Caenorhabditis elegans: one gene and its partners. The protein of the gene in region 2 purifies or fractionates together with the protein of the main gene of each other region. This does not show direct contact. Each region holds a gene or a part of one and is shown on either strand. Other genes may lie near its edges. The genes, in order: rskn-2, rfgp-1, arf-1 and C30H6.8.

Evidence for each region.
Region 1: the proteins of rfgp-1 (region 2) and rskn-2 fractionate together in Caenorhabditis elegans (co-fractionation; one large-scale study listed by BioGRID). This does not show direct contact.
Region 3: the proteins of rfgp-1 (region 2) and arf-1 fractionate together in Caenorhabditis elegans (co-fractionation; one large-scale study listed by BioGRID). This does not show direct contact.
Region 4: the proteins of rfgp-1 (region 2) and C30H6.8 fractionate together in Caenorhabditis elegans (co-fractionation; one large-scale study listed by BioGRID). This does not show direct contact.

What each region holds. Positions count from the first base shown.
Region 1 is NC_003279.8:8,010,990-8,021,283, forward strand, and holds rskn-2 (Ribosomal protein S6 kinase), read left to right. Parts: upstream 1-3,420; 5' UTR 3,421-3,478; coding exon 3,479-3,643; intron 3,644-3,913; coding exon 3,914-4,311; intron 4,312-4,691; coding exon 4,692-4,838; intron 4,839-4,882; coding exon 4,883-5,189; intron 5,190-5,294; coding exon 5,295-5,467; intron 5,468-5,591; coding exon 5,592-5,823; intron 5,824-5,882; coding exon 5,883-5,972; intron 5,973-6,144; coding exon 6,145-6,266; intron 6,267-6,794; coding exon 6,795-6,903; intron 6,904-7,149; coding exon 7,150-7,429; intron 7,430-7,480; coding exon 7,481-7,628; intron 7,629-7,931; coding exon 7,932-8,082; 3' UTR 8,083-8,591; downstream 8,592-10,294. Other genes in the region: dod-18 (Nucleotide PPase), read right to left, coding at 8,706-8,841, 9,112-9,264, 9,308-9,411, 9,631-9,765, 9,813-9,878; C54G4.7 (AB hydrolase-1 domain-containing protein), read left to right, coding at 9,865-9,986, 10,055-10,142, 10,192-10,294. UniProt on the Caenorhabditis elegans protein: Serine/threonine kinase that may play a role in mediating the mitogen- and stress-induced effects on transcription. May repress transcription via phosphorylation of 'Ser-1' of histone H2A. May phosphorylate histone H3.
Region 2 is NC_003279.8:8,523,558-8,531,271, forward strand, and holds rfgp-1 (ADP-ribosylation factor GTPase-activating protein 1), read right to left. Parts: upstream 5,715-7,714; coding exon 5,655-5,714; intron 5,603-5,654; coding exon 5,493-5,602; intron 5,447-5,492; coding exon 5,275-5,446; intron 5,227-5,274; coding exon 5,024-5,226; intron 4,426-5,023; coding exon 4,326-4,425; intron 4,281-4,325; coding exon 4,179-4,280; intron 4,127-4,178; coding exon 3,996-4,126; intron 3,945-3,995; coding exon 3,811-3,944; intron 3,762-3,810; coding exon 3,684-3,761; intron 3,627-3,683; coding exon 3,445-3,626; 3' UTR 3,201-3,444; downstream 1-3,200. Other genes in the region: tnsl-1 (Tonsoku-like protein), read right to left, coding at 1-195, 244-380, 844-1,018, 1,069-1,182, 1,395-1,539, 1,589-1,781, 1,828-1,948, 2,003-2,147 and 4 more; zhp-3 (Zip homologous protein 3), read right to left, coding at 5,920-5,978, 6,151-6,314, 6,363-6,505, 6,784-6,855, 6,896-7,151, 7,200-7,381, 7,428-7,618, 7,661-7,714.
Region 3 is NC_003281.10:5,713,595-5,719,913, reverse strand, and holds arf-1 (ADP-ribosylation factor 1-like 2), read right to left. Parts: upstream 3,800-6,319; 5' UTR 3,799-3,799; coding exon 3,651-3,798; intron 3,578-3,650; coding exon 3,467-3,577; intron 3,368-3,466; coding exon 3,159-3,367; intron 3,074-3,158; coding exon 2,996-3,073; 3' UTR 2,370-2,995; downstream 1-2,369. Other genes in the region: rbm-26 (C3H1-type domain-containing protein), read right to left, coding at 5,766-5,798, 5,845-5,982, 6,036-6,167, 6,214-6,319. UniProt on the Caenorhabditis elegans protein: Small GTPase involved in protein trafficking between different compartments. Modulates vesicle budding and uncoating within the Golgi complex. In its GTP-bound form, triggers the recruitment of coatomer proteins to the Golgi membrane.
Region 4 is NC_003282.8:17,378,636-17,384,426, forward strand, and holds C30H6.8 (protein-disulfide reductase), read left to right. Parts: upstream 1-3,693; coding exon 3,694-3,849; intron 3,850-3,925; coding exon 3,926-4,143; intron 4,144-4,192; coding exon 4,193-4,355; 3' UTR 4,356-4,444; downstream 4,445-5,791. Other genes in the region: haf-1 (HAlF transporter (PGP related)), read left to right, coding at 1-122, 169-368, 412-610; C30H6.9 (Altered inheritance of mitochondria protein 36, mitochondrial), read right to left, coding at 771-986, 1,056-1,239, 1,285-1,363, 1,414-1,534; dlat-2 (2-oxoacid dehydrogenase acyltransferase catalytic domain-containing protein), read left to right, coding at 2,000-2,055, 2,100-2,298, 2,344-2,448, 2,494-2,631, 2,676-2,896, 3,132-3,269, 3,356-3,512; C30H6.12 (BESS domain-containing protein), read left to right, coding at 4,801-4,840, 5,611-5,658.

The DNA of each region.
Region 1 (10,294 bases), 510 kb from region 2:
AGGATTGAGATCATCCTCGGTTTTGTTAATTTCATTTGCTCCGATTTTCATGAGATTTGTTGCATGACGTATTCATGCAGCTATTTTCTTGTTTTTCCCTTCAAACTGCTAATTTTTTTTTAAATTCAATCAGAAATTTTTGCAATAGGTTCGCTATTTTTGAATCGGAATTTTTGTCCCTTTTCAAAATTAATTGTGTATTTTTCTTTTTCTTTTTTTTTGATAGATACAAATTTTCAAATAGTAGTTTTCTAGTTTGCGGGCATATATTTTCCAAAATCAGAAGCTTGTAGGAACTTGTATGATTCATGATTTGTTGTGACCTTGGTCTATAATTCATGAATAATATTATTATTATTTTGTTCTTGTTCTGCCATAATAATCACATTTCCCAAACACTTGATTTTTCAAAATCCTTTTTTGTGCTCAATCGTAATTACTGATCCTGCTTTTTCACTCATTTCTCTAATCTTTATATTTCATTTCTCCAAAAAATGTGTCTGAGTCTCTACTATAAACCATTAATCTCTCACTATTCTTTTTCTTTTCGTTTCTCTCTTCAATGCCATTGAAGCGGGGAAAAACCGACGACGACACACACCACACACACACAAACAACACATTGCATAGGCTATATCAAAAAATTATTAAAAATGTTCTTTTTTTTTTGATTCTTATAAAATATTTGTGATTCTTTCCCATGTAAAATTCCGTTTGAACTTAATTAGTGTTATCTAAAATGGTCTCTGATCTTTGATAGTGTCTCTTCAAAAAGAGGGTTGTACGGCAAATGTTCTCTTTTCGATATGGTTGTTTTAGATAAAAAATTAATATAATGTAGAATAATATTTAGTCAATTTGAACACAATTCTTGTTTTGATTGAATTTTTTTAAAAGTATCTAAAGACTGAAAGTTAGTCACTGCTGAAAAAATGGGTCAAAGTTTTGGCAAGTTTCGGTAGTTGGGCTCTATTTCAAACAAAATTTAGGATTATTTCCAGAGAGTTTTCGAATTTTTCAAATTGCTTTTGCTTTCATAAGTTTGCTTATTGCAGAGAAATCAGCAATTTTGTAGATTTTCCGCACACCCTAAATATCAGGTTCGACAAATTTTAAATGTTCTATTTTCAGCAACACGTTTGGATCAATTCTTCATCTCTCATTTGAACAAAAAATTTATTTTTCATCCTAAAATCTAATTTCAACAAAATAACTATCGTTTTTTTCCTTCCAGATGAATTACTAATTTCACTCTAGTTTTTGCAGAATTTTTGCACTTTCAGTTAATTCATTCATATTAAATTGATCTCTATAATTGCAAATGTCATTTTCTAATCATAATCCCATTAATTTCTGAAACTTGATTACGTAGAATGCATAAACTTTAAGTTGGCAGTCCAAATACACATGCAAATGTAAATTCGACCCTTTCTCGCCCATCTGCATTTTTCATTTGAGGTCATTTTACTTTTGTGACCAACTTTGTGTTCTCTGTGGTCTTTTACTCTTTTTTCGTGATGATAATTATAGTTATAGCAAAAAAAACAATTATTGTGACAAGCTGTGTCCAACGTTTTTCATAAATGTTCCTATAACTTTTGCTCCTGGGGTTCGGAAAGTAATCAAATATTTTTAAATATGATTTGTGTGTGAACTCTAGAAAACTTTTAAATTATGCTGTCAGATGCAGAATTTTCATTGACTAGCAAAAACACAAGTCGAATGCAAACTTGATTTTAACTCTAAAAAATAGTATGAAGAATTTTTTCTATTCACTTTTCCATCGTGGGTGCAAAACGGCAAAACAACCAAGATGTGGGCGGAACCATTACACCCTTTTAAAAAATAAAACTAATTTTGGTGAATATTTTAAAATAGATTCGAAAATATTTTGAAAAATACAAAACATTAAAAGATAAATGTATTACTTTTCTGAAAAAATTCCGATGAAAACAACTAATGAACTTGTTTTCATTTTGAGCTTTTCAGTTTCAAGTATTAAGATTTGAAATTCCTAGTTTTAATTTCTGGCCAGTGAACTTTTCTTTCATATTTCGTTTGATGTTTAGTGTATCACTGGTTTTTTTGCAAAATGTTTATTTCTAATTGATTTGAGTTTCTTTAAAAGCAGAAGTGATTAATTTAGGTTATTTTAAAAGCTTCAAGATATTTATTCTTAATATTTATCGCTAGAAACTAAATTTATACAGGCCCCATCATTCCTCTCGTTAATATTTTGTTGATTAGCTTGGTTAGTTTTCTCTTCGTTAGACGAATTCCCCAAATCTAGGTACCTAGAAGCAGTAGAAGTGTTGTTTTGATATTTCCTGTTTATATCTTCCATTTCTCTTACTTCTCACTCTTCTCATTCCTCTAACTTCTGCTTGTTGTGTTCTTGTGTTCCATTTGATTCTGCTCTTGCTCACCGGAGCCACGGCAGCAAATGCAACAAAAGAAAGGAAGAAAAAACGAAGCACACACGCAAAACACATGGCATATTTTCACTTTTGCATCGTTGTCTCTTTCTCTTTCCTTCTTCATCTTCCTTCTTCTTGCTTATGGCTCATGACACCACACCACTTGTGCTCTCTTGGCAGGAAAGCCTGAGCTCACAACTTCTTCAAGTTTTCAGAATATTGTTGGATGGAGAGAAAAGGGAAAGGGGATTTCTGAAAATGATCGGAGGTGAATAGAGTTGGTCAACAAATCTTTCTTTCTCTAGAAGACTTTTCATTTTGTTTTTTATTCTGTTTGCTATGTTGTCCTCTTTTTTGTGCTGTGCTTCTTCTTTTTCTTCCTCTCCTTCTTGTTCTCAACCTTCCAAGCGGTAATGGATTTCTCGTTTTCATTTCCTTTTCTGCAAGATTCATGTGATAATTTCTGTTTTTCCATGTCTCTTTTTTTCGCAGTCTTCATTCCAAATTTTGTATAATCTTCTGATTTCTTTTATTAAAGCCTAAGATCTCAAAACTTAAAACTCAAGATCTTCCTAATGACTTTGTCTTGTGAAATTCTATTATTTGTCATCATTCTCTTGATACTCAGTTATTAGAACTCTTATAGTTAGCCAATTTGTGAGTCATCCTCTAAACATGAATAAATTTGAAAATATTGTCATAATTTCGAAGTTTTCATGGATTTATTTAGATTAATCTTTTAAAGATTGAAAATATTTTGACAAGCTCCTTTAAGTTCGAATTTCAGAAGAATGCAAAATTACTTTTTTTTTGGAAAATTAAACAACTACTAGATTTAGTTTTGAAAACTAATATGTAAATTATTAGATCTGCAAAAATTGAGTTTGTTTTTTCAATATTTTGTTTTCACTCTATTCTCTTCTGCTCAGTCGATTTCACTTATAACCTTGTTATGCCTACGTGCATATTTGCAAAACCTCATTTCGTGCAATTTTTATTTTTCAGGTGATTAAACCCGAAGAACACAAAAAATAGGCAGAAGGCATACATATATAGAAAAAATGGAAGATATATTGATGCCTGAAGGAGAGAAAGTTTCCATGGAGAACTTTGCTCTCCTCAGAGTTCTTGGAAAAGGAGCATATGGAAAAGTATTCCTTGTGCGAAAAGTTGGTGGAAAGGATCATAATACTATATATGCTATGAAAGTGTTGAGAAAGACCAGAGTGAGTTATTTTTGGAAAAGAAATGAATTTAAAAATAATAATTTCTCATTTATACGGTGCTGAACCTTTGTATTATTATTTGTTTTTTCATCTCTCGCCAAGAGCGAAAAAACCGACAATTGCCGGAATTCATATTCTTGAAATGGTTTTGAACTTTTCGAAACAAATAACTGGATTGAAAAATTTTTGAGAGATGGGAAAGTGAGGTGAAATAAAGTTTATAGATTAGTATTTTAATATGAAACGAAAAAAAAACAAATTTGATTGCAGGTGCTCACAAAACAAAAAACCCTGGAGCACACAATGGCAGAGCGTCAAGTACTTGAACGTCTACGTGGAACACCATTTCTTGTCAATTTGTTCTATGCTTTCCAAACTGATACCAAATTGCACATTGTAATGGAATATGTGAGAGGAGGAGAATTATTCACACATCTTTGCTCGAGAGGTCATTTTGATTTAGAAGCTGCTAGATTTGTAATTGCTGAACTTGTGGTTGCAATTGATAGTCTTCATCAAAGAAAAGTTATTTATCGAGATTTGAAGCTTGAGAATATTTTATTGGACGAAGAAGGACACGTTAAGTTGACAGATTTTGGATTAAGTAAATTGTTTCTACCCGGAGAGTTGGATAGAGCCAATTCATATTGTGGAACTATTGAATATATGTGAGTTTTGAAATTTCCAGCCAAAGTTTAGGCACACTGCCAAACGTATTTGGAATTAAAAAAAAAAAGAACTTATCAAACCTCAGAATTATTTGCATGTCAATAATTTAAACATGATTAGAATATACAATTCGTAGTTTTTGATGTAGTTCCAAAATTAGGATTAACAAAAACTGGGTAATTGCTACTTTTTGGTTGTATATTAAAAGGTATCATTTTTTGTTGAAAATTATTGATCATTGATATTTGATTATTGAGCTATTGAATTTTTTCATTGAGATTTTCATATAATTCTTTACAAACGAAAATTGGCACAGACGGCTGTGTAAAAGTAATTTCTGAATAGATAAGAAATAAATTCTCAAGTTTAATGATTCCAGGTCGCCAGAAGTAATCAATCGCCCTGAAGGAGGATACAGTGATGTTGTCGATTGGTGGTCTTTGGGTGTAATTTCATTTGAATTGCTCACTGGATGCTCACCATTTACTGTAGATGGAGCACAAAACTCTAGTAAAGATATTGCCAAGTAAATCATTTCCTCATTTTCTTTATAATTTCTTCGAGTTTTAGACGAATTATGACAAAGAAGGTCCCTTTCCCAAAAACTATGGATGTTGATGCTCGCGATTTCATCGGCCAATTGTTGGAAAAGAAACTTGAAAAACGTCTCGGATACAATGGAGTTGATGAAATTAAAAATCATAAATTTATGTCAAGTATTGACTGGGATGCAGCTGTTAAGCGTACATTGAAGCCAGTGATTGTTCCAAGAATTGGACATGATTTGGATACACAGTTCTTCTCAGCTGAATTCACTTCTCAGCCACCATTATATTCTCCTGCAGAGTCACCATTAAATGCTAATACTCTGTTTAGAGTGAGTTTTTTCTTAACTTGGCAGGCACCGATTGCCGGATTTTGAGCCGAATTCCGAAATATGTTTGACAAAAATAAATTTCCAGAAGAAATTATGTGATTACAGGGATACTCATATGTCTCCCCATCTGTTATATTTGCCAATGACAATGTTATCGGTGAAGAACTAATGGCTGAAGATGTCAATGCACTTCTCGCGAGTTCTTCATTTTTTGCCAAGTACAAACTAGACAAGTCGGACGCTGGTCTTTTAGGAAAAGGAGCTTTTTCGGTGGTCAGGTAAATTTTTATATTTTCATCAACATTTCATGTGCTGGAACTATTTTCTAGATTCGAAAATCTCGAAAAAGTTCAACAAAACGTTATTTTTACATAGTTTTAAAGATAAAATATACAAATTCAGACGATGCGAACGCGTAGTTGACGGAGCCCAGTTTGCAGTCAAAATCGTATCACAAAAGTTCGCAAGTCAGGCTCAACGTGAAGCACGAATTCTTGAAATGGTTCAAGGACATCCGAATATTGTTCAACTTCATGATGTACATTCGGATCCTCTTCATTTTTATCTCGTCATGGAGATTCTGACTGGAAATGAGCTGCTCGAGAGAATTCGAAAATTGGAACGATTTACAGAGGTTAGAATTCTTTTAAGCATTTCTTTAATTCGGAGTTACTCTGAAAATTAAATTTTTAGAGTGAAGCAGCAGACATCATGCGGCAGTTGGTATCAGCTGTGAAATATCTTCATGATAAAAGAATTGTTCATCGAGATTTGAAACCAGAGGTGAGTTTCAATGATCAGATTATGTTAAGTGGCTGCAAAATAATACAAAACATAAGAATAAAATACTTCCAAAAAGTGAAACAAATTAATAATTAAAGGTGGAGTATACTCGAGTAGTTAGAAAATTATGACGCAATTTTTAAAAAAACGGGCACAGTTATTCTTATTCCAGAATATTCTATTTGAAAGTATCGATTCAAGTGCCCGCCTTCGTCTAGTCGATTTTGGATTTGCACGTCTACTTCCAAATTCAATGGAACAACAACTGAAGTCTGTTCAAGTTCTGCGCAAGATGTACGGTCTCATCGCACACAATCATTCACTCCACTCGGAGTAACATTTAGTCTAGTCAAAAGTTATTGTGTTTTGTCTTTTTTCACTCATTATTGGGCATATTTTTGTTTTTTTTTCTTAACTGGGAGCATGTGTCTCAAGCTGAAAATTTAAAAGAACAAATGTTCGAAAAAAGTTACTTTTGGTAGAGAGGAAGACGGTGGTGTGTGATGTTTCGTGCATTCTTGTTACAGATTATCTTCTTTTTCTATCCTTTTAAACCTTTCTTTTCACTTATCTCTACTAAGGGTTTCTTTCTTGATTTCAGAGATTTTTGAAGAAACACACTCATTCTCTGACTCTCACTTGATTTTCAAGACAAAGCTGTTTACTAACAATTCACAAACACTCACATTAAGTTTCTCAAATTTTCTGTAAACTTGAGAGTTAGAGAATGCCCAATTCATCTTTGAATAACGTTTGTTTTCACTAATAGCTTCTATATATTTGCCTAACTCTCACTATGAAATTCTTCAATCATAATTACAGGACCCCCTGCTTCACACTACAGTATGCTGCTCCAGAAGTTTTAGATGTTGGAGATTCTCAACCAGAATACAACGAACAATGTGATTTATGGTCACTTGGAGTTGTACTGGTTAGTTGTATAATTTTGTAATAATTTAATGTTTCAAAAATCGAAGTAAAAATTTTGAGAAAAAACAAAAAGACCCCTCAAATTTAAGAAACGATTGATAATCGATAAAAATCACGAAATGGAAGCATGCAACTACAGTACCACATCGTGAAAAATTTTTTGGACGCATTGAGAACCCTGGTTATTAGAAATTCATAAGAAATATTTTAAATTGTGTGGCACATTTTCTACGAATAAATTTTTCAGTTCACAATGCTATCGGGTCAAGTTCCATTCCATGCACGTTCTCGTCAAGAATCGGCAACTGAAATAATGCAGAGAATTTGTAGAGCAGAATTCTCATTCACAGGAGACGCATGGACAAACGTGTCAGCAGATGCTAAGAATTTAATAACCGGTCTTCTTACTGTGGATCCAAAGAAACGTCTTTCAATGCAAGAGCTTACAGCTCATATGTGGCTCAAGTCTTCGGCTTCAATGGATACACCACTTCAAACTCCTAGTATTCTGCCATCATCAGCAGGTAGTTAAACTGATGTTATTGAAAATTGAATAACCTAATCTTTTGACTTTTCAGATGAAACATTCAATGAGACACTGCGCGCATTCCTCCACGCTAATCGTGATGGATTCCATCTTCTCGATGTTGCTGCTGCTCCTCTCATGAAACGACGCGGAATCAAAAGACAATCTGGGGACAAGGATGCTTCTGGAAACTCGAAAAAGTGAGTTCAAGAACCCTAATATTTGAAACTCCTCCAATTTGGGGTACGGTTTCAAAGTGCACAAGAAACACCACATTTGACGACATTTCTCTAAAATTTTATTTTTTAGTTTTTAAGTTTGCAAATAATTGTAAATTCCTTATTTTATACTATTTAGAACGTCTATTCAAATATTATATTTATGAAATTATTAATAATAATTATTTTCTAAAAAAATATGATACTTCTAATTTTGATCGCATTGTGAACATTTTCGTTTCTGAAAATATACTTTCATTTTCAACAATTTATGTCATTTTCCAGTTCGCGAGTTACCCAATTCGAGTGTCTTCCGGAAGAACAAGAAGCAGAGATGACATCATCAACATCCCGTCCAAGCAATTTGGGAATGATGAACTATCGAGAACCAAATTCTGGAACAATCCGAGAAACTCGTGGCTCAGACTCCTCCTAGACCTTTTTCTTTGTTTCTTTTAATTTTTCTTCCTTTCTGTTCCTGTTTCTCTCACTGTTTGCGTTGTGATTCTTTCGTCCTAGATGCTTTCTAGTCTGTACTCTCTCATTATTCTCACTATTTTACAAATTTTCCGTCACCTGACACTTGTGGCATTGCCTTCTCTATGAGTACAGTTGCTGAAATGTTCATTGAACCTGTAGTGATTGTCATTTGTTAGATATTTCGCATTTCTAGTCAATCCTCTACCAATTTTGAAAAATATTGTGATTCGTGCATTTCATTTTATGTTATTATATCTAGTCTCATGTAAATTTCTAATTTTTTATAATCATTTTGTTAGATACACATATCTTTATTCATCCACCTATCCCCATGTAATCTTTTCATTGTCTCCAGTGACTCCCTGAACTCTTGAACCATTTCCAGAAATTCTTCCATGTTTTGCGATGAGCATGATTGACTTGCCAATCGACTTTTTGAAAGATTAATAAAATTAAGTAATTCGTTTTACATATTTATTTTGGAGAAGGTTTGAAAGCTCCGAATCATAATATCGATTGAAGCATCAACGTGAAAACCTGATGTAATGTGAGAAAATAAAATATGGAAGTGAAAGCATTTTAGAGAATATTTTTAGCGATAAGAGCTTGGTGAAGACGGTGAAGTGGCAAACCAACCACATTCGGCATACATCCTTCGATTCCACGAACGAAGACAGCGCCAAAGTCACCGATTCCATATGAACCTGCTTTTTTCCTGAAATTTCGATTTACTAGGTCAGTTATTCGTGTTTTTTTATTGGAGTTTTCAAATGTCGTGATGAAAATGATGAAAAACGTGATGAAAATTTTAAAAATCCCTCAAGTTTTGCAGCTCTTTCAAATACTCATAAAATGTTCAAAATTTCTTGACCGCCAATTTTTCTTTCATTTTTATGACTTTAGATAAGAAATTCAATTCCAAAAATTTTGATAACTTTCAATCAATAAATATTTCCATAACTTTTTTTTGCTAAAAAAAACTAACAATGGCTCTCCGCTTTTTACATATTCGTCGATAACTCTATCAGGAATATCTCCAAAATGAACAATTGTTTTCTCGATGATCTCTTCATATTGATCAGTTTCATGATAGTGTAGAGCCATTCCAGTATATACATTATGAGTATTGTTACGAAGTCTGAAATTAATTTATACAATTATGATGTTGAAAATTTAATTACCTTTTCAAAGTTTCTTTAGCGTCATTGGCATCTGTTGGTTTTCCAATAATTTCTCCATTGAATTCGATTACTGTATCACACGCAATAATAACAGAGTACGGCTCCTTAATAATTCATATATTAATATAATATCTCAGTTTTTATAATTTCAATTTTAGATTTTAAAAATATGGTAGCAGGTCTCGATATGCTGCAGCACTCTGAAATTTTGCGCAAAAAGTTTTAGGTCGCGTCGAGAAATGTTGCCGTATTTTTTTTGTTGAATTCCGATTTGTTTTTCAACTAATAACTATATTCTCAAGTTACTGAAAAAATAACTATACCTCTTTTCTTTTCATTTCTTCCACAATAGTCGTCAATTTTCCTTTAGCTGTTTCAATGACAAACTGCTTAACTGGCAATGTTTTTGGTAGATTTTCCTCGAAATTTGAAACTTTTACGATTACATTTTCCAATCCCTGAAACCGAAATAAATCTTTCTTTTTGTAGATTCTCATTTTCTCACAATTTGCTGCAACAATTTGAGTCGATTTGGTGACTGACTTGCCAATACAATAATGGCTTCTTTCATTCCGAACTTGCCGTCGTGGGCGAAACACGTGGATCTGAAATTTCGATCGGCTCTTGTGCTCAGTCAATTATTCACAAAAAGTTGGGGACATCCGGATGTAATTAAACAGTACGTTTTGTTTTAATTGAGAAATTGAGAAACTAATAGATAATTAATTATTGTTATTATTATTTTAGAATGGCAAAATATCGCAGAGATGTCATGTCAAAGAGGCTTGTGATGGATTATGTGAAAGAACTTAATCCCAAAATCGACATTGTGAAGGTAAATTTTAATTTCTCAAAAACATTTTTCAATAATAAATAATTCTCAGAAATATTCAAAAAATGGCGTAACTTCATACGAGGGATTTTTCGCAAGTCCTCATGCCACTCTCTTTCCCAATCATATGCCAGGAAACGTCGGTCGAGCACATT
Region 2 (7,714 bases):
TAGAGGTGTCAATCGAGAATGGTTCAGTTCAGTCGAAGAATTTTGTGATTCTTCTGACATAAATGATTCTGCACTTCTAGCGTTCACTTCTGCACCATATCGTAACAATACTAGAACATTTCCGTATTGATTGTGAGCTACTGCTTCCGAAAGAGGTGTCCAACCACCATTATCTTTTGCATTGACTTTACAACCCTAAAATAATGGAAATTTATCACGATTTTTAAACAAAATTCCACTTACACGTCTACACAGACGCTCTATAACCGCTTCATTTTCAGATTTCATTGCTGCTTGATGTAAAACTGTTTCTCCTTTATCATTCGTTTTGTTCAACTGATGTTCCGTTAGAAGATCCAATTTGAGTAGTTCATTCTCTTCTGAAATCAGGCAAAATTCGACATTTTTCAAACGGCCAAAATTTCAGAAAAAATCAATTTAAAAACTTCGTACATTAAAGGTGACCTATCATTCGACAAAAACGTAAAACCAAGATATGGGCGGAGCCAGTGTTCAAATTTTCTTTTGATGAAGTTTCTTAAAATATCAATTTTTGAAATTTTGGAAACTTTATGGGAACTTCTAGTAACTCTGGAAGTATTTTAATGCTCTTTGAAATTTTTAGACAGTTCTGATATTTGTACTTCTAGTATTTTCTAGACTTTTTAAATGTTTTCTAAACTACAGTAAACCTACAGTAATACTACAGTATCCCGTCTGTATCTTATTATTTATAACGCGATGTATTTATCGAAAAGGCTCCGTCTAAATCTTGGTTCCTTTTTGCATTTTTCTTTAAATTTTCTTGTACTTTTTCGAACTTTGTGAACTTTGTGTATATACCTTTGCATCTCTCTAACACATCTTCATCTGAAAGTTTCCAGTATAAGACATCAGTTTCATCATCCTCATTCTTAATCACAACTTCTGGAATATTATCAGTTTCTTGTTTCCATTTTATCGCGTTTTCCTCGTTCCGCTTATCCGACCAGTAGTTGGCCCAATTCTCGTAGAGCTCCTGAACAAATTAAAATTAAAATAGGATGTTATATAGAGATTATAACATACACGTTTGGTGTCTAATCGAAGGATTTTCCCATTGAGTTCATTAAACATTGGTTCCAAATCCGTAAAGTCTAGCTTGCACATACAACCGAATATTGAAACTCGAGTATCGAGAATCTGAAAATAATCGATAATAAATTTTAAATTTTAAGATTTTAATTATGGTAGTTGAATGAACCAGAGCTGACCTTTTCTTTTGGTTTTCTGGGAACAAAATTGTAATTTAAACCTTTTTTATGTTAGGTTTATCCGAAAGTTAACCATGAAATTTTTTTTCACAAAATTCTATTTTTTTTTAACTTTGCATTTAAATTCAATATTTTTCAAACCTTTTCTTCTGTAGCCCCAGTTTTCATGAGAAGTTCCAATAGATTCTTAAACATTTCCAAAGATTTTGAATGTTCATCTAAATCACTGTAAACCAAAGCCATTCCCTGATATGCACGAAGAGCATCTTCGTCGTTCCGTTTGAATCTACAAAAATAAGCTCTAAAATAAAATATTTAAAATAAATTCCACTTACTCTAACATTTTCTGATAACTCATCAAAATATTGTCTCTTACAAATTGCCGATATTCTTTCTTCTCTTTCGCCATTAAAGTTTGGAAATATTGATCATAAAGATCTCCGATTGCTTCGTAGAGTTGACATTTTGATAATTTAGGCTCCATTTGTGGATTTTTTCGAATTTTGTTATACTTCACCAGTCGATAAACTGTAAAATAAAGTAATAAAGATACGGGAGAACTTCAAAAACTGACTAATGCAAATTCTTTTGACAGTATCCTCAAGCTCATGAGCTGGAAATCTAGCTTCATGAAAAAAGTAAGCTTCTGCGAGCGACTTGTAAGCTTTGTCAAGACGGTTTGCAAGGAGATATTGCTGAAAACATATATATATATTATGCATATAATTATATTCAGCTGGAAAGTTTACATGAGAAAGTTCACATAAAGTCTGAGCTTTTTTATCTTCTGATGCGTCATCGTCCATTAATTCAGCGATATCTACTCGTTGATTCACAGGAGCAATACTACATTTAGTACGGAGCATCTCGAATCTCATAGATTTATCATTTACTCTGAAAATTCCGAAAAATATAATAATTTATGTAGAATAAAAAACTAACCTTAATAATCCTTCAGTTTTGTCCAACAATTGCATTGCTCTCGCATTATTTCCTATTTGATTTTGTAGCTGAGCTTCCAGTGTGAACTGAAAAATATTGAATTTAATTTTTCTTCGGAACTGATTTTTCTAACTAACCAGCTGAGCTTTTCGAACTTTCGGTGCTCCACCAGGCTCACTTTCTTTAAACGATGATTTGTATAAATCCACAAGTTCTCTAGCCTTTTTTGTCAATTCAATTGCTCGTTCAATATCAGTTCGTTCAGCTTCTCCATTCAAAAATAATTGTTGTAGACACCATGCTTCAACATGATACGATAGTTGTTCCTGAGATCGACTTCCACATTCTTTTGCCAATTTTCGGAACGAGACAATGTGTTGAAGACATGATTCTCTGTTACCTAGTTCCGCATAAATTTCACTTAATGTACGTTCACAAAGACTGCCTTCGAAGTATTTTCGGTGTTCACGTGCGAGTTTTGAACCTGTAATAAAGAAAATGAGCAGTGATTGACTTTTTTACATTAAAATAATCCCTGCAAAGTTTAATCCAGAAAATTGCATTTTTAAATATCGATGTCAAGAATCGCGGCAACTTTCAGCAACAAGCAGAATTTTGGAATTTGCAGGATTCAACAATTTTAGGTTCAAAATTCAGAAATCTCACCTTCTTCACAAAGAGAAATTGCAGATTCCAAATCTCCAATTTGCTTGAGCTCATGAGCTGCTTCATTAAACTTGTCGACTGCGTCACTGAACTTTCCGTTTCTCATACATTTTCGAGCTAAAAGCTCCGTTCATTTTATTTTCTAAATTTGAACAAATCTTCTGCTTACCTTCTTTTTCTTTTTTGTTTTTTACAGATGACATCTGGAAATGAAACAGGAACATTGAAACGGGACAGAAAAGTTTTAAAGAAAAACTCAACAAAATATATAAACTGAAACTCACAAAAACAACAACCAAAACCAAACAACAATAACCACATATTAATATTTCAAATCTTCGAGTTTTTCGCATTTTTATTTCAAAAAGTGATCTCACCAAACGATAAATTGGCAATTGGCCGGTATTTTCTAGAAACATTTTTAAAGAAAAATTAAATCACAGGAAACATTTCTGATGGCTAGAAAGGAAAGGAATTTCGGTAAAGAAAGAGAGTGGAAAAACAGAAATAAGTTATTTAAAAAAGAGAAAAGGGGACAGAAAATACAGAAATTTGGGAATTTGTTTGTTGAAAAAGAAAATTCCTATTGATTGAGAAGATCCCATGCATCATCATCCCATCCTTTTGCTTTTTCTTCTTTCTTTTTTGGAGGTGCGGCGGCTACTGGAGCCAAACGTGGAGCTGTTGTCTTTGGTTTGTTGAATGAAGACTCGAATTGAGTAATTGTTGAAGAAGAATCATCATCCTCTACATTTTCTGCGGTTACTGAAAATTTCGACAATCAACAATATTATTAAAATTCCTTTTTGAAATGAACTATACCTTTTTCTTTGCTTTGCACTGGCTTGACACTTCTCTCCTTTTTCTTTTTTGTCTCTACCGGTTCCGTTGGTTTCAATTCTGAAAATCAAAAGTAAAAATAGGAAAAAATCTACTTGATTCAAAATACCTTCATTGCTCAAATGATCTCCACCTTCAGTTGTTCCACGTGGCAAATTAGATTGTTTTAGCCAGTCGTTGAACTCATTTTGCGACGATGAGCCGGACATTCCACCTCCGCCACCACCAAAGTCTTCGTAACCACTGTAAGATTTAAAAAATAATGATTATGGCGGAAATATTTTTTAAAATTACGTTTTAGCGAGAATACCAGAGAAGGCATTGAGAGAAGGTGATTTTACGAATGAAGATAATCCATCCCAGGATTTAGTTCCAACTTCTGATGCTTTGTTCGCGACACCACCAAATAGTGAATTGTTTTGAGACTGAAATTTACTTTTTTTAAAATTAATTTCTGACTTTTTGATAAAATCCTACCACATTCTCGCTTAACTGTGACGCTTTCTGCTGAGCTTGAATTCCAACGTCTTTTGCCATCGCTGCAGCTTGAGAAGCTCCTTTTGAAAGCATAGACCAGCCCTGTAGAACAACTATTTTAAAATTGTTAATCTAGGTTAAATCTACCATTGAAAGACCAGACATTGCTCCAGCAAGCAAATCATCTCCACTATTTGACTGATTCGGTACATATCCAGTATTTCCGAATCCTTGATATTTGCTGTTTCTGAAAAAAAAACAATTCTGTGGAACTGTAAGAAAACTTAATTTTTGAAGTCTGTAATTTCTGAAAACTGAAAACGTGAGGTTAAAAATTTATTTCCATGTTTGGAGAGATACTTTCATACAATTAAAGAAGCAACCGTTTCTCAAATTAGCGAACGGGACTTTAAAAATTCCAATTATCACCCTTCATTGCATGATATCTTTTTTTTCAAACGTTGCGGCCGCTGCGACACAGACAGGCTGACAAAACTTGAGTTTTTAGTTGAATCTTTTTTTCAACTTGAAAATATGTATTTATTAAAAAAATTTAACCAAAATATTTTTTTAATTTTCAGGACGTCTTTCTACGAAACGTCGTTTTCGAACTTTTTAAGTCTGATAGAAAAGTGTCCCATATTTCGTTGCTTCATCTTTAATTATAGGAAAGTATATTTTCAGACATGAAAATAAATTTTCAAATCTCTGAAAATATGTTTATTTCAAAGCTTTCATCCGACATTACATTTTTTCAGGAATTTTCAAAATTTTTAATCACAAAATTCAGTCGTTTTAGGGAATTTTGAAATATTCTTCCACCTTTAATTGTTTCAAAAACTTACGAATCTTGGGTAGAATATGCCCCATCGCCTGTGGATTGTGAATAACTTGAATTTCCACCATAATAAGAACCAAGAGACGAGTTCCCTGAAGACTTATTAGTTGGTTTGGATTGAGAAGACATTCCTCCAAGTGTTGGTGGAACATAGTTTGCTGCTGGAGATGTTGATTGTGACCATTCACGGCCTTCAGCTTCACAGGCTACCTTTAATACATTTTTTATTAAATTTTCAATCAATTAACAAAGACATACTTTATCTCTAAATAAAGCAGCAGCTCGTGAATTATATTTCTCTTGAATCGTCCATTTCTCCTTATAATCTGGCTGTGACTGCAAGAACTCGGCAAACTTTCTATTGCCTCCGGCCTTCATTTTTGCTAATTCAATGTCTTTCCATTTGTCCATAGTCACAGAGCGTACGAAACTGAACAACAAAAATTGAAAATTCAGCGAGAACTGTGGAAACCTACCTCAAATGTACGCCCAAACTACGGTGAATCCCCGAGCATTCGAGACAAATCCATATTCCATACGATACGGACACCCATTGAGGATTATTGGCTTCGCATTCGAAACAGAACTGAATGAAATAGATTTAAATGTGTTAATAACATTTGTGATATCAGACTTACGTTATTATCATCACACGGCCGAAGTTCTTTCAGCACTCTTCGGGTCCGTGGACTTGCCATCTTAAAAGTTTCAAAAATTTTAAGGTAAAGAGGGTTTAAACACGAAATATTCAAATAAAATTTAAATCAGATGTGAACTAGGTAGAGAAAAAGAAATTTGGAATTTTTAACCCAATTTTTATGAAATAAACATTAAAGTTGAATTGTACATGATGTATATATCAACAAATAAAGAACGAATTCAGAAAAAAACGAGATTAAAACATTAATCGGCGGGTCCAATGAAGCTCCGACCATTGATCGGTTTCCTTTGTGCGAGGTATCCTGAAAACGTCAGAGTACACGTGGCAAAAATCGAAAGAATTGGAATATAGAGGGAGCGGAAAGGCGCAAAAAGCGCCCGGAATGAGAGAGTGAGAGACGAAAAAAGTGTGTAAGTGTGTTAGTTGATGAGAGGGTCGAGGGAAATTGAGGAATAAAAGAGTGAATGACAGACCGGGTTGAGATGAGATTCGACGCATTTCTTGTATCTGCTGACGGTCGAATCCAGCTGCACTTCGACGATTTTGTGCTATTGGAGTAATTCGTGAATTCTGTTTGAAATGATGAACACGTATCGCAGAACCGCCTCCTGTGGGCAGCGAAGAATCTCTTTTAGAACTGGAAAATTATGAATTAGGAATCACAGATACTTTGAAAATATCTCACATATCATGCACTCCAAATGAATTCGCTCTATTTTGCCTCCAATTTTCCAGTGACATACTAGTTTTGTCCATGATTGTCTGATTTGCCGTAGTTTTGTTTATCATCGAACTATCTCCCATATTATTACGCGATGGGGTGAATATCTGTAAAAATTTAAGTCATATTAAGAACTGTGCTTGAAAATGTTTAAAAATTTATAAAAAAGATCTTCCGTTGCGGGGAATCGAACCCCGGCCTTATGGGTGAGAGCCATAAATCCTAACCACTAGACCACAACGGAGCGTGCTTTTGAGTAGCCAAGAGAAACATTACCACTTTGAAGATACGGCAAGGGGTGGACGAATGTTACAACAAGAATTGTCTACGCAAAAAGTGTGTTGAACCACTTTCTGAGAGCCGGTGTATACTAATAACAACTTACATTATTGAAGGCCACACTGAAAGCTGATGATTCTGACGTGTTTGCATTAGCTGACTGTCCACTGCTCTGCAACTAGAATATATGGACAATCTTTTTATCAAATAATTGTTACCATTGTATTGAACATAGCTTCTTCGTTTAATGATTCTGGTCTAGTGCGGCTGCCATTTTCGAAAAACGAATTATAATTAATGGAATTTGGTGATGAAGCTGGAGAGCTAACTAGCGGTGAGACCATATTAAATGTTGAATTTGCAGACGATTCGACAAGAGATGGTGCCGTTTCTTGTGATTCAGCAAGACTGAATGGAAATGGAGTTTGAGAGTTCATTCCAAGAGTGTCGGCGGACATTAAATTTGTCATAGATCTGAAATTCAATGTTTGAAAGAACGAAATAAAAACAAAATTTACCAACTTCAATTTTGCTTGACACTCTTCAATTTCTCTCTCAGCTTTTACCCGTTCTTCTTCACTTGCTTGCAATTTCTTTTCTGCCATTTGAATCCACGCGGTCGCCTCCGCTAGCTTCTTCCTTTGTGAATCGAATTCCTGCCCTTTCGTTCGAAAATATACCTCCATTTGTCGTTTTTTCTCTTTCTAGAACCAAATTTATGAATTCTTCCTAGCTGATTGTAGCTCAAACCTCCTTAGTCAAATATTTGACAAGATGATCTCTTGTGCTCTGTTGGAAATCTATTTTCTTTTGTATTTTCGCCAATGAATCTGCCACCATTTTTATAGGGTCAGCAAAATATATTTTGATTCCTGAGCTTATGTTTCCATCCAATCGAACAAGTCTCACATTTTTCTTACAAATCAAACAGACAGCAAGATCTAAAGTTCATCGTTTTCAAGATTTTAAACTAATTTTCGTACCTGCTTTCGCGCATTTCGTACAAAAAATGTGAAAACATGAAGAGATGAAGAATC
Region 3 (6,319 bases), on a different chromosome or scaffold from region 2:
TGTATACTTCATTTAAAACTATATTCAAATTTAAAATAAGTAGACGACCTCTTGACCAACTGTACATGTCATTTGTTCAAGTACCACTTCACTTGAATGTCACGCTAAACTGTTCAGACCACGTCACAAGTAAAAATAGTTTCACAAAAGACTTCTCAACTTGTTTGTGCTAGAAACAAGTCGAAGAATGGATAATAAAAGTCGAAGATATCGGATTGCAGTGCGAATTGCGCAATAATCCTCTCGGATATCCCATCTCAAATATTGTCATCACCAGAAATGACCAAAAAGTATGGACGCATGTGTGTTTATGTACATAATTAAATATATACTTTTGTTGAAGCATTAGAGCGTGTTTAGCTTTCCAAAAATAAAGTCAAAAACTGAGAAGCTTATTATTAATGTGTGGTACAACCTATCGGGCAGATGGTTGCGAATAGTAATAGCAGCTCCTCAAGAAGGGCAGATGGACAGGAAATTAGGTGCGCGTTCTTCGTTTTTCAAATTTTTCGAACGAGTGAATAAGAAACCTTGACGTTTACTCGATCAGACACAACAATATGACAGAAAAAAGTTTTTTGGTGGTGTTTCGAATCTAGAAAAACCTGTTGATTGAGGGATAGGGGTGCCCCATCGAGGGAAAAGAGGCAAAAGATCTTGTGAGCAGATACTGTCTCACTTGGAAAGAGAGACGATTAATCGAATTTATTGAAGAGGAGGAAGATTTGATGATGACAGGTTAGAAAGTTTTTACTAGAGATTCGGAATTTTGTATAAAATTGGGTTTTTTGGGGACTTCCCTGTATAAATTGCGTGACATCATATGTGTGAAAAGTTTGGTTACCATGTGCTTCAAAAGTTAACACTGAACTTCTAAGGCAGTAGGCGGTTGGCAGACACGTAAGCATCTCTGAACGAGACCAAAACTTGTATGCATTATGAAACACAAAGCTCACAATTCGTCTAAGTGTCTGAAATACGCAGGCCTTATCAATCTTTAAAAATTGCATTTCATATCATTTTTGCTTCGAATATGAAAAATTAGTCAACAAAATTGAGCATATTGAAAAAAGTGCAGGAATTATTGGCTGGGAAATATCCAAAACATGTAGAAAAGGATCGATGAAACGAACAAAAAAATACTTTATAAAACTTATCGATTCAAAAAATCTAAATGTGACAACTGCGAACCCTGTCTGGTGATGAATGCGTTCACTCAACGGGAGGTTAATCCGTCCCTATAATCATATAAACGGTGTGTATAGGGGGGTATTCTGCTACTGCTGACTGGCTGGTTCTATTCATCGTTTCACAACCAATGAGCATTAGTGACGTAATGCTACCAGTCATCCACGTAATATTTCCACAAGATGGGACCATTTGGAGGATATTACATGCTTATGATGAGTTGCACAACTATAATTACTGTACTAGAATTGAATTCCTCAAGTTTAGTTCAAGGAGACAAAATATTCGTTTATTATCCATATTGTATTTTATTTTAGTTTTTCAGTAAATGAATATATTTGGTCTAAAATTAAAAAAAAAAAAGAAGCCGCCGAAATTTTGGTATTTTTTTGTGTTATAGGTACGCCAGAGAATAAAGATCCTGATTTCAATAATTGTAACAAAATATTTGTGCAATTCAGCTATCATGTTTTATTCGTTATAAAAACTTGAGATTGTTAACGTAACTTCCCCTTTTATTCAAATTTTGCTTGAATAGTTGCTCAGTCAGCAGAGATAGTATTAGGGTACAGTAAGTATATAATTGGATTACTGTAGTTCCATTAATTGTGCAATTTAGGTGATTTGGAGAGGTTATGAATTGGAATACGTCTGGGAATAGTATCAGGGTACATTAGAAGCACTGTAGGATTACTGTATTTTCAGTGTATTACGTGAACACTGAGAATGCGCATTGAGCAACATGTTCGACGCGCAAAATATCTCGTAGCGAAAACTACAGTAATTCTCTAAATGACTACTGTTGCGCTTGTGTCGATTTACGGGCTCGATTTTAGAACATAATTTATTTTCGAATTGTGACCGAAATATTTGAATTTCATCCTATTTTTCTTTTTTCTGTCATTCCGAGTCAAAAAGTGAAAAAGAACAAAGCAAAATCAGACCATGGCTACAGTAGTAATGTAAATAATTTCTGTATTTTTCGCTACGTGATATCTGTGCGCCAGACAAGTTGCACAATACGAAATTCCAGAATTTAGTTTTTCCGTATTAAAAATTTTTGCACATAGTATAACGCCTCATGTGTTAATAAATTACCCTTAAAAATTAACATTTCTTGTCCAAATTGAGGAAAAAGATCATTTTCATACTTTCATATTGTCATTATCAACAGGTGAATATAACATAATAATTTACTCCACGACAAAAAAAATGGTGAATATGATACTATAATACGGAAAAATTGAGGAAAAGCAAAACAGTGTTCGATACGAAATAGAAGAGAAGCGAAATTAAAGGTTCGAGGGGAAGGGAACGATGAAAACGAGATTTGTGTGTAGGTTTGTGTGCAATTACGCGCAAAAATCACAAAAATAGAATAATGGTTCAACAAGAGAAGAGAAACACGTTCATACTTCTTCTCGTTACACAACACTGTTTCAGGGAATATTTGAGGGAGATGGAGGGCGGAGCAGGTCAAAAATGGAGAGAAAAACAATGAATAACTTACATATTATTCCCGTCAGGAGCGGTTCCAAATGTAATCGGATAAGAAAAAATGTCGGATTTGGAAGTTAAGAAGAAATAGACGACAAATGAATTGGGGCTTTAAATAAAAATTGGGTTGAAAAAGTAGAAGAGGGCGATGGTGATCAAATTAAAAAGCCTAAGGGATGGGAGAGGGAATTTCAAATGGAACAGAGAAGAACAAAGAGAATGAATGGGGAGAAGAAAGGAGTTGAAACGAATAACAAAAACGGATGATTCGTAGTCGTTTATTCGTCGAAGGTGGATTCAGAAAAATGATTTAAGATCTATTCTTGAGCTGGTTGCTGAGCCAATCGAGTCCTTCATAGAGACCATCTCCTGATGTCGCACATGTGGCCTGGAATTAATTTATTATTGAAAAATAGTGAATTTCTTTAGTTTTAAAATATCAGATGAGAAACTGCTGATTAAAAATATCTCACCTGAATATACCACGATCGATTTCTGAGCGAGTGGAGCCCGAGCTTGTCAGTGACCTCAGCGGCGTTCATGGCTTGTGGAAGATCTTGTTTGTTGGCGAAGACCAGAAGAACGGCATCACGAAGCTCATCCTCGGCGAGCATACGCATCAGCTCTTCACGAGCCTCTCCAACACGTTCACGATCGTTGGAATCAACAACAAAGATAAGTCCTGCAAGAAAATATAATCAATAGAGCATTTTTTTTGGACAGTCTGTGAATTCTTGCGGGTGATAAGCTGATCCGCAAACTATTCTCGTAAATCACTAACCTTGTGTGTTCTGGAAATAATGCCTCCAGAGTGGACGGATCTTGTCCTGACCTCCGACATCCCACACGGTGAATGAAATGTTCTTGTATTCGACAGTCTCCACGTTGAATCCTGAAATATGAATAAAAATTATGACTCATTGTGAACCGTTCTTTCGCAACAAAAAAACGTCCCAATGACTCACCAATAGTTGGGATAGTCGTGACAATCTCGCCCAGCTTCAACTTGTACAAAATCGTAGTCTTTCCGGCAGCATCCAATCCAACCATCAGAATACGCATCTCCCGTTTGCCGAAGAGGCCTTTAAATAAGCTGCCGAACACGTTTCCCATTCTATAAATTGATTAATAAATTAAATTATTGAATTTCAGAAGAGGAACCGATGGAAGTGAAAAGGAACGCTAATAAAATGTGAAAGCTGAATCAATAATCTTCGTGGGAAATTGCGAAAAATTCGGGAAGATTTCAAATCCAATACGTGAAAATGCCAGCAACGACAATCGGAGAAAAAAGTACGGAAGACGATTGGAAGGAGGAAGAATCGGGTAAAACGTGGCAAGGAGATGGATATCTATAACAGGCGCAAGGAGCGAGAATCCAGCAGAAATACATCGGCTACACCGTCCAACGTGTCACTAGCACAGCAGTCTCTGGCGACCAGTGGAGTGTCTCTTCCTCTCTCAACCTCTCGACGCTGCTTTTTGTCTTGTTCGCTGGGCGCGTCGCGTGCGTTGCGCAGCGGTCGAATAAGAGGAGATAGATGGCAATAAGTGAAGAGACCGAGACGTGAAAGTACCGCAAGAGATGAGGAGAGAGCGAAAAAGAACAAGAGACCGTCCAAATTTGTCCGCTAGTGCAGGACGGAAGGATGAAGAACACATACACACAGGAACGAGAATAGTAATGTTCGAGTTCCTTCTACTGACTCCACGTCAGCCGTACGTTGAATCTTTCAATCCTTCAGTGAAATCTTGATTGATTGATTGAATGAACCCGAAAGTTCTAAAATTTGAACTTTGAAACAAACTTTTTCGAGTGATAAGACGATAAACTGCAACATTAAGAAAGTGATGAAAAATGCTTTTTGAGAGAAGAAAAACCTATTGAACGCGAGCGCATTGTTGAGAAATTTTGAAAATCGTGACGCAATTAAAAACTCTGAAAAAAGGACACGTGTCACAAGAGTGCAGCACGAGATACTGTGACTAATAAATAGAATCAGATGAGAAAATTAATATTAAATCAAATACAAAGCGCCAAACTTTCTAAATAGATGACCCGCATTTCCGACTAAAGCAATGTGGCGCTTCTGAAGAATGTGCTGGAGAAAAATGAAAGCTTAATAGAAACCGGCCGCCGCAGACAGTATAGATCAATGCCTTTGCGCCAATCTAGGATAGTTCATCTTTCCGCCTTTCAAAATGCCGAGAATTTCTTACTTTCTGCAGTAATTATTAGGAGTCACAAACCTTGATTTTCGAGCTTTTTGCGTTCAAATTCGGAAATAAATGAAATGACGATCAAATCAAAGATAAAATGTGACGATTGCAACGTCGAAGCAAGAAAAATTGGAGGAATAAAGTTAAGAAAGAACAAAGAAAAAAAAAATTAAAATCATTTATTTTCTGGCAATTCACGGCTAAATACGACGAAAACACACCGGTTTCCGCAAAAATACCTGTGTTTTATTGAAAATTAACTCGTTTTTTACTCGTCACTCGGGAGGGGCTCTTTTTGTACTCGTTCACTTTTCAGTGGCCCGTCTTTTATTCTTTCGCTGATTTTTTTTCGAGATCACAGCCATTATGTATTCTTTTACTTTATTTTTCTCATTTAGTGGAGTTATTGCTCTCTTTTGCTCTTTTTTGCTGGCTTTTTCATCAATGAGATATATCGATAGAAATAATGCAAACAACAAAAATGAACGAAAAAATAATGGGAACTTGTCAAGGAATCAGGTAAAAATCAATAATCATTGCGATTCTGAACAGATCACATGACAAGTTCTTAGCCAAGAACAATAAAAAATGAAGATGAAAAAGTATTGCCAAATGGGCAGTTAAACTGAAGACAATTAAAGAATGATAAGAGAGGAAATGTGATAAATTATAATGGATATACAATAGAAAAAATCGAAACAGTTTCTGATAGGCAACAATAATAAACGGGAAGAAAAATTGAGGTAAATCTGAGGTTAAATAGGCTAACCAGCCAGATAACTAGAAAAGTAACCATTTGGAAACAACGAGTAAGATCACCAAGACAATATTTTGAGATCAAAGTTCTAATATAACTAGGACTAATCATTTAGCAGGTCATCTTCTTCGTCAGACTGAAATCTTTTTTTAAATTTAATTTTCAAGTGAAAACCAAGTTACCTCAAGATTGCTCGGAATTGCAGCGAGCAACTGGTCGGCAGACATGTTCGTATCAGTTGAAGGGATCTCCTCGATTCGCTCCGTCTTCAATTCCATCTCGAGGTCCACACCATTCAGAACTTTGCCATCCGCCATTGCCTAAAAATTAACATCTTATTTAAAATCGAGTCCCGTTTAAACTGAAAACTCACTTTCAACGCATCACCTGTTTTTCTAAACGGAAAAACGGCTGTTATGAGACCATCGTCGTCGGCTTTAACACTGTGATCAAAAACCTCACCGAACTTCTCCATATGTGCCATCAAATCAGTGACCAATTCATCCTGGAAATAATGTGTTTTTAAAATCTACAATTTAAAGAAAACTCACTGTTACACCTCGAACGATGACAACACTGCTCATTTTAGATTGGGGCTCGTCTCCATCGCTTCCTGCTTTTCGCTTCCGGGTCGAATCGTCCGATTTTTGTGGATTT
Region 4 (5,791 bases), on a different chromosome or scaffold from region 2:
AAAATATATTGATGGGAACAGAGCATCCGGAGAAAGTTAGCCAGTACGAGCTGGAGGAAGCCGCACAGCTGGCTAACGCATTGGATTTTATTCAAGGATTTGAGAATGGTTTTGAGACGATGGTATGTTTAGCTTCACATCTTCAGATGAATTCGAACTTTTTTATAGGTCGGAGAGCACGGATGCAAGTTATCTGGAGGCCAAAAACAACGAATCGCGATCGCACGTGCACTGATTTCAAAGCCAAAAATCATGATTCTTGATGAAGCAACTAGCGCTCTTGATGCAACCTCTGACTATTTGATTCGAATGACTTTGGATAATTTGCTGAAAAATCATAATTTGACAGTATTGGTTATTGCACATAGGTGAGTTATATTCGACTATACTTCAGTAGATAACACATTTCAGACTCGCCACAATGCAACAAGCTGACCAAGTGGTTTACGTGAATAGAGGTCGAATCGAAGGCCAAGGAACATTTGATGAAATGATGAAAATTCAGAATTCGATTGTTGAGCAAGAAGCAAGGCGTCGAGGCATCCCGATGAATGAGCAGATGAGCAGAGTAAATACTCCTGTGGCTCGCGGATTTTCATTAAAATTCTAGAAATTTTTAGACTTTTTCATTTAGTGTTTAACAGTTGAACATGTGCACAAATAAAAAAAACTTATATATTGCAAATCGGCCAGTTTTAGACCCGAAAACACGAAACATGACAAGTTGAAAGGTTTCAAATACTAATCCTACACTAATCAAAGTAAAAAAATTATTTTGCCATGGAAATAGCCGCCAGAACAAAGAGTGAGGATCCTACGATGAAAGACAGCTCCCGGTAGCTGGGAAATTGATCAATCTCAAAGTCGACGTGGTGCTTGTATTTTTGTGAAGCAGCGGCCACTAAAGATTGAACATCTTCTGATGAAGCTTCCAAATAGAATCGGACATCTGGAGGGCGAGAAAATTTGTCGGGAGTTGTATGAACCTGAAAATGTAATAATTTACATGAAAAGTATAGGGGAATTTTGTAACATGTAGTTTAAATATAACTTACTAAATCAACAAAACTCTTCTTCATCTGTTGTTCTCTGGCGGAATTTAAATATACATTCGCTGTCTCAAAGTGTGGTTGAAAAATGATAGTTTTGACGTCGCCAGTCGCTAGATATGTTTGCTCAAAATTTTCCCAAGAAATCGGTGGCAATTTTTCATTGAGATTTCGATGTTCGCTTCGACGTCTGGAAGAAGTTGATTTTGAAGATTTTTTTCCGAAAATAGTTTACTTGTAAAGAAGAATTCCATGCGTCGAAATCCAGATAAACATGAGGCAACCTCCGAGAGCATAAGCGCGGCGTATTTTGGCTGAAAAACATTGTTTGGGATCTGGGCATTTTAAAAATTGGGTTACTTACCTTTATCAATTCTTTCCTGAAACGCTTTCAGTTTTGCTGGGTCCACTTGTTGAGAGTTAAATCGAATCGGCGTCCATCCTTGTAGTCGTGGCACAGAACGGAAGAAAACTCGGGAAAACATGCTGAAAATCGAATGATTTAAAACAAAAATCTGTTAAGGATTACTGTAAATTTTAAAGGAACAATTATATGGAAGGCAGCTTGGTCTCGAGTGGAAAAACGCGTGTTTTCCTCTCGGACAACATGGCAATTAATTTTTTTAATGTGAATATTGGTTTCTTTTTTATTTCATTTATTATGCATAATTTTATGCTAAATAGTACACTTCGTTATTAAATTTTTTCAAAAAAAGATTAGTTTATTTAAGTAAATATTTATTTTAAATGCAAAAAAATGCAATTGAGCGAAGAGAAAGAGGCGTTGACGGAGAAATAAATAGAGAAGTGCGGCAGAGCGCTCTTGCATTGCACACCGCTCAACAGATTTTTCCTTCAATTCCTCTTCTTCCTTTGCTAAATATTTCCGTTATTCCTGTTATGACACGCATCGTAAAAATAACAATTGATATATTTCTTCCAGGGTAATCATGCTAGCCGGTAGTCAGGCTCTTCGCCACCTTTCTACTGCTGCACAAAACCAAGGGTAAGTGTGTAAAATAGATTTTTCTATTTAATAGTATTTTCCAGAGCTTGCGGTCCTGCAGTCAAGCTTCTTCTGATTCAATATGGTCTGGAAAATCGAAAAATTGATGGAACAGGCCCAAAAAACAAAAATATTCTGAAAGGCGATGTTATGAAAATAGTTGAAGCTGAAAAGCTGAAGCCGGTGGCTCATCATGCACATGCTCCAAAAGAAACACATATTGAAAATAAATCTATTGAAAAGGTTTGGAAAAATGTTTCAAAAATTACATATTGTTTTGTTTTGCAGAAATCAGACATTTTCGGCGCCAACAATCGCAGTCTCCGTCATCACCAAGATATTCCTCTCAGCAATATTCGAGCAACAATCGCAAAACGATTGACAGCTTCTAAAGTAAAAATTCGAAATGTTATTATTGGAGAAAATATTTTATTTCAGCAGCAAATTCCTCACGAATATCAAGGTGTTGACGTTCGAATTGACGATATTCTGGCGTTGAGACAGAAATTGAAAAAATCCGGAACTGCTGTTTCGCTCAACGACTTTATCATAAAAGCCGCAGCCCTTGCACTGAGGGTAGGCTTTTCAAAATTTCTTCGTAAATGAGAGCTCTATTTCAGTCCGTGCCGACAGTAAATGTTCGATGGACTCCAGAAGGAATCGGTCTCGGATCAGTCGATATTTCGGTCGCTGTGGCTACTCCAACCGGCCTTATCACTCCAATTGTAGAGAATTCTGATATTTTGGGCGTTTTGGCGATTTCTAGCAAAGTGAAGGAGTTGTCGGGATTGGCGCGAGAAAGCAAATTAAAACCACAACAGTTCCAGGGAGGATCTTTTACGTGAGATTTATTCTATTTGTTTCGGTTACTTCAAATATAATTACAGAAATTATTGAAACGTTCACAACGTTCAAAAAATGTATCCACATCAAACAACTTCTAGAGATCTTTGAAGTTTTTTATGTTTCTGTTCTAATTTCTCGTAAGAGAGAAGAATTGATAAAGAAATCACATGATAATCATGCAAATTTAAAAGCTATCATCCCGAAATGATACAAAAATTAGAAAATTTCAGAATTTCGAATCTTGGAATGTTCGGAAGTGTGACCAACTTCACAGCCATCATAAATCCACCGCAATGTGCCATTTTGACGATCGGAGGAACTCGTTCTGAAGTTGTATCTGTTGATGGACAATTGGAGACACAAAAATTGTAAGGACTGATACCTAGGAAATTAAAAAAAATCTCTGCCATCAAAATTAAATAATCCCATCAGATTAATATGTATTTTTTTCTAGAATGGGTGTCAATCTTTGTTTCGACGGACGAGCAATCTCCGAAGAATGTGCAAAACGATTCCTTCTTCACTTCTCCGAATCGCTTTCTGATCCGGAATTGCTCATTGCTGAACCACTTTCTCCAGAACTCGATTTTGATTTTTCGCGTTTATTGTAGTTTCGAATTAGACAGGATTCTCATACTCTTCATAGCACCGATGTACTCTAATATTAGATAAAATGAAGTCGAATTTTTAATTTGAATGCAATTCGAAATTTGAAAACACTTTCCGCGTGAATCGCCCTAAAAATATCGCGTCGTCCAACATTTTCTTCCACAATTTTCGATTATTTTCAAGATGTCCCCTTCACTTCTTGGTTCATCATTTCTTCGCTCAGCTTCTGGCAACTTCACAAAGTTCGCAAGTATCCGAAATGCACACTTTTTGTCATCGGTTCCAATGAAGAAGCGTGGAGTTGATGGAAATCTACCAAAAGATTATTTCGAAAATAAGGTAGGACTGAATAATTTAAATCACCTATTTACGTTGCAAAATTTATTTTCAAAAATTGAAAAAAAAAGAATTTCAGACAGTAGTTGTCTACTTCTCAGCTGGATGGTGTGGATCCTGCAAATTTCTGACTCCAAAGATCAAGAAATTCTACAATGCTGTAAAAGAATCGGATGCTGGAAAGAATCTGGAAATCGTATGGGTGTCGAAGGACAAAGAAGCAGCCCACCAAGAAGAATACTATGAGAAGAATCTTCCAGACTGGCCATATATTCCATTTGGAGATGAAAATATTCAGTGAGAGAAATTTCCAAAATTTATACTGAAAAAAATTATAATTTTTCAGAAAGCTATCGGAAAAGTACAAAGCAGTGGTGATACCGGTTCTGAAACTCGTTAACTCCAATGGAGATGTCGTTCATGATCGTGTCCGTGCTGACGTAGAAGCTGGAATCAAGGCGGATCCTGTGAAGACTATGGAGGAATGGAAGAAATTGTTGAATCAGTGATTTACACAGATGACTCAACTAGACTTGAATATTATGTACATTTTAGTAGAGAAAACATTGATTATGGGTTCTTTTAAGTAAATAATTTCCATTACAATTTGTTCTTTTTCTCACCAATATTTTCCAGACGAACACTAAATACAAAAAATGCATTCTCGAAAATTCTCACATATATTCCCCATATACATCCTGTTATTCTCTCCCATTCCGCTCACTGAACAACAGCATCAGAAATAGAGAGTCTGAACCTACACGACAACGAAAATAATGATAATGAAACGAGAAAAGCACTAAAAATGGGCAAGGCGGTGTGTGGTTGCTATGGGATTCCATCTCTTTCCCCTCTAACTGATTAGAGAAGCAGTCGGGCAAAAAAAATATTGAAAGGAAAAGTACGCGGTTTTGTTTGGCTTCGTCTCATTTTTTCGTATAGTCTGATGTTCTAATGTTGATGGCAAAAGACATTATTGAAATGGAGGAGAGCGGTGGGTTAACTTCTAAAATTGCTATTTTTATTTCAAAATCTTAGTTTGTGGTAATAAAAATATGAGAGGACGTATGGCAGATACATAATAAGTATATGTATTTTTAATGCAAAAATGCAAGAATTTAAGATATGGGCGGAGACTGTTGTGCTAAATTTCACATTTTATGGAACTGTCATTTTAGCAGAAAGTATCGAATGCACAAAATGTAGACAATGAATTGATAGAGTTGCACTTATTGAACAACTTTTGGAGGATCCTATCACATTTCTTTGACGTTTTTCATTCAACTTCTTGTACTTATAATATTTCTGGCATAAAATAATTCTTTCATAAAAACAACCGATCTTCTAATATTCAACACTTTTAAGTGATCAAAAATTGGAATAAAACAAGAAAATCTACCGTACCCTCTCATGTCTATAAAACATTGAATCCTTAGTGTCGCGGCATCAAATCTATGACTTTGAATCAAAATTCAATTTTTCGGAATAAGTTAATATTTTGTTAAGTATTTCGAAACTTTTCAAAACGGCTTGGAAAACAATACATGAAATTTTCTGGAAGAACCCAAATTTGGAAAAAAACATGAAAGAGGAGCTAGGTTAGTGGTGATTTCACTTCAAAACACTGGAACATTGATATACTCTGGAACACCACAAAAGAGAAACAAAATTAAAATAGAAGAATCTCCCTGATGACCATTTTCTAAATCATTAAAACAAAAATGCCACAAATAATAGGAGATCTTTGTAATATCAACTTTACAGTTATTCATCCTTCCGAAACACGACGACAAAGCGACTTCATACATTCTGGTTAGTCCCCTTCATTTGGTATATATTCAGTTTCGTATTTTCTCATCATTTATTTCAAATATTGATAACTTTGTTTTCGTATTGTTCCCGTTGAATCGACAATGTCATTTGTTTTTTGGTTCCCCATACGCTA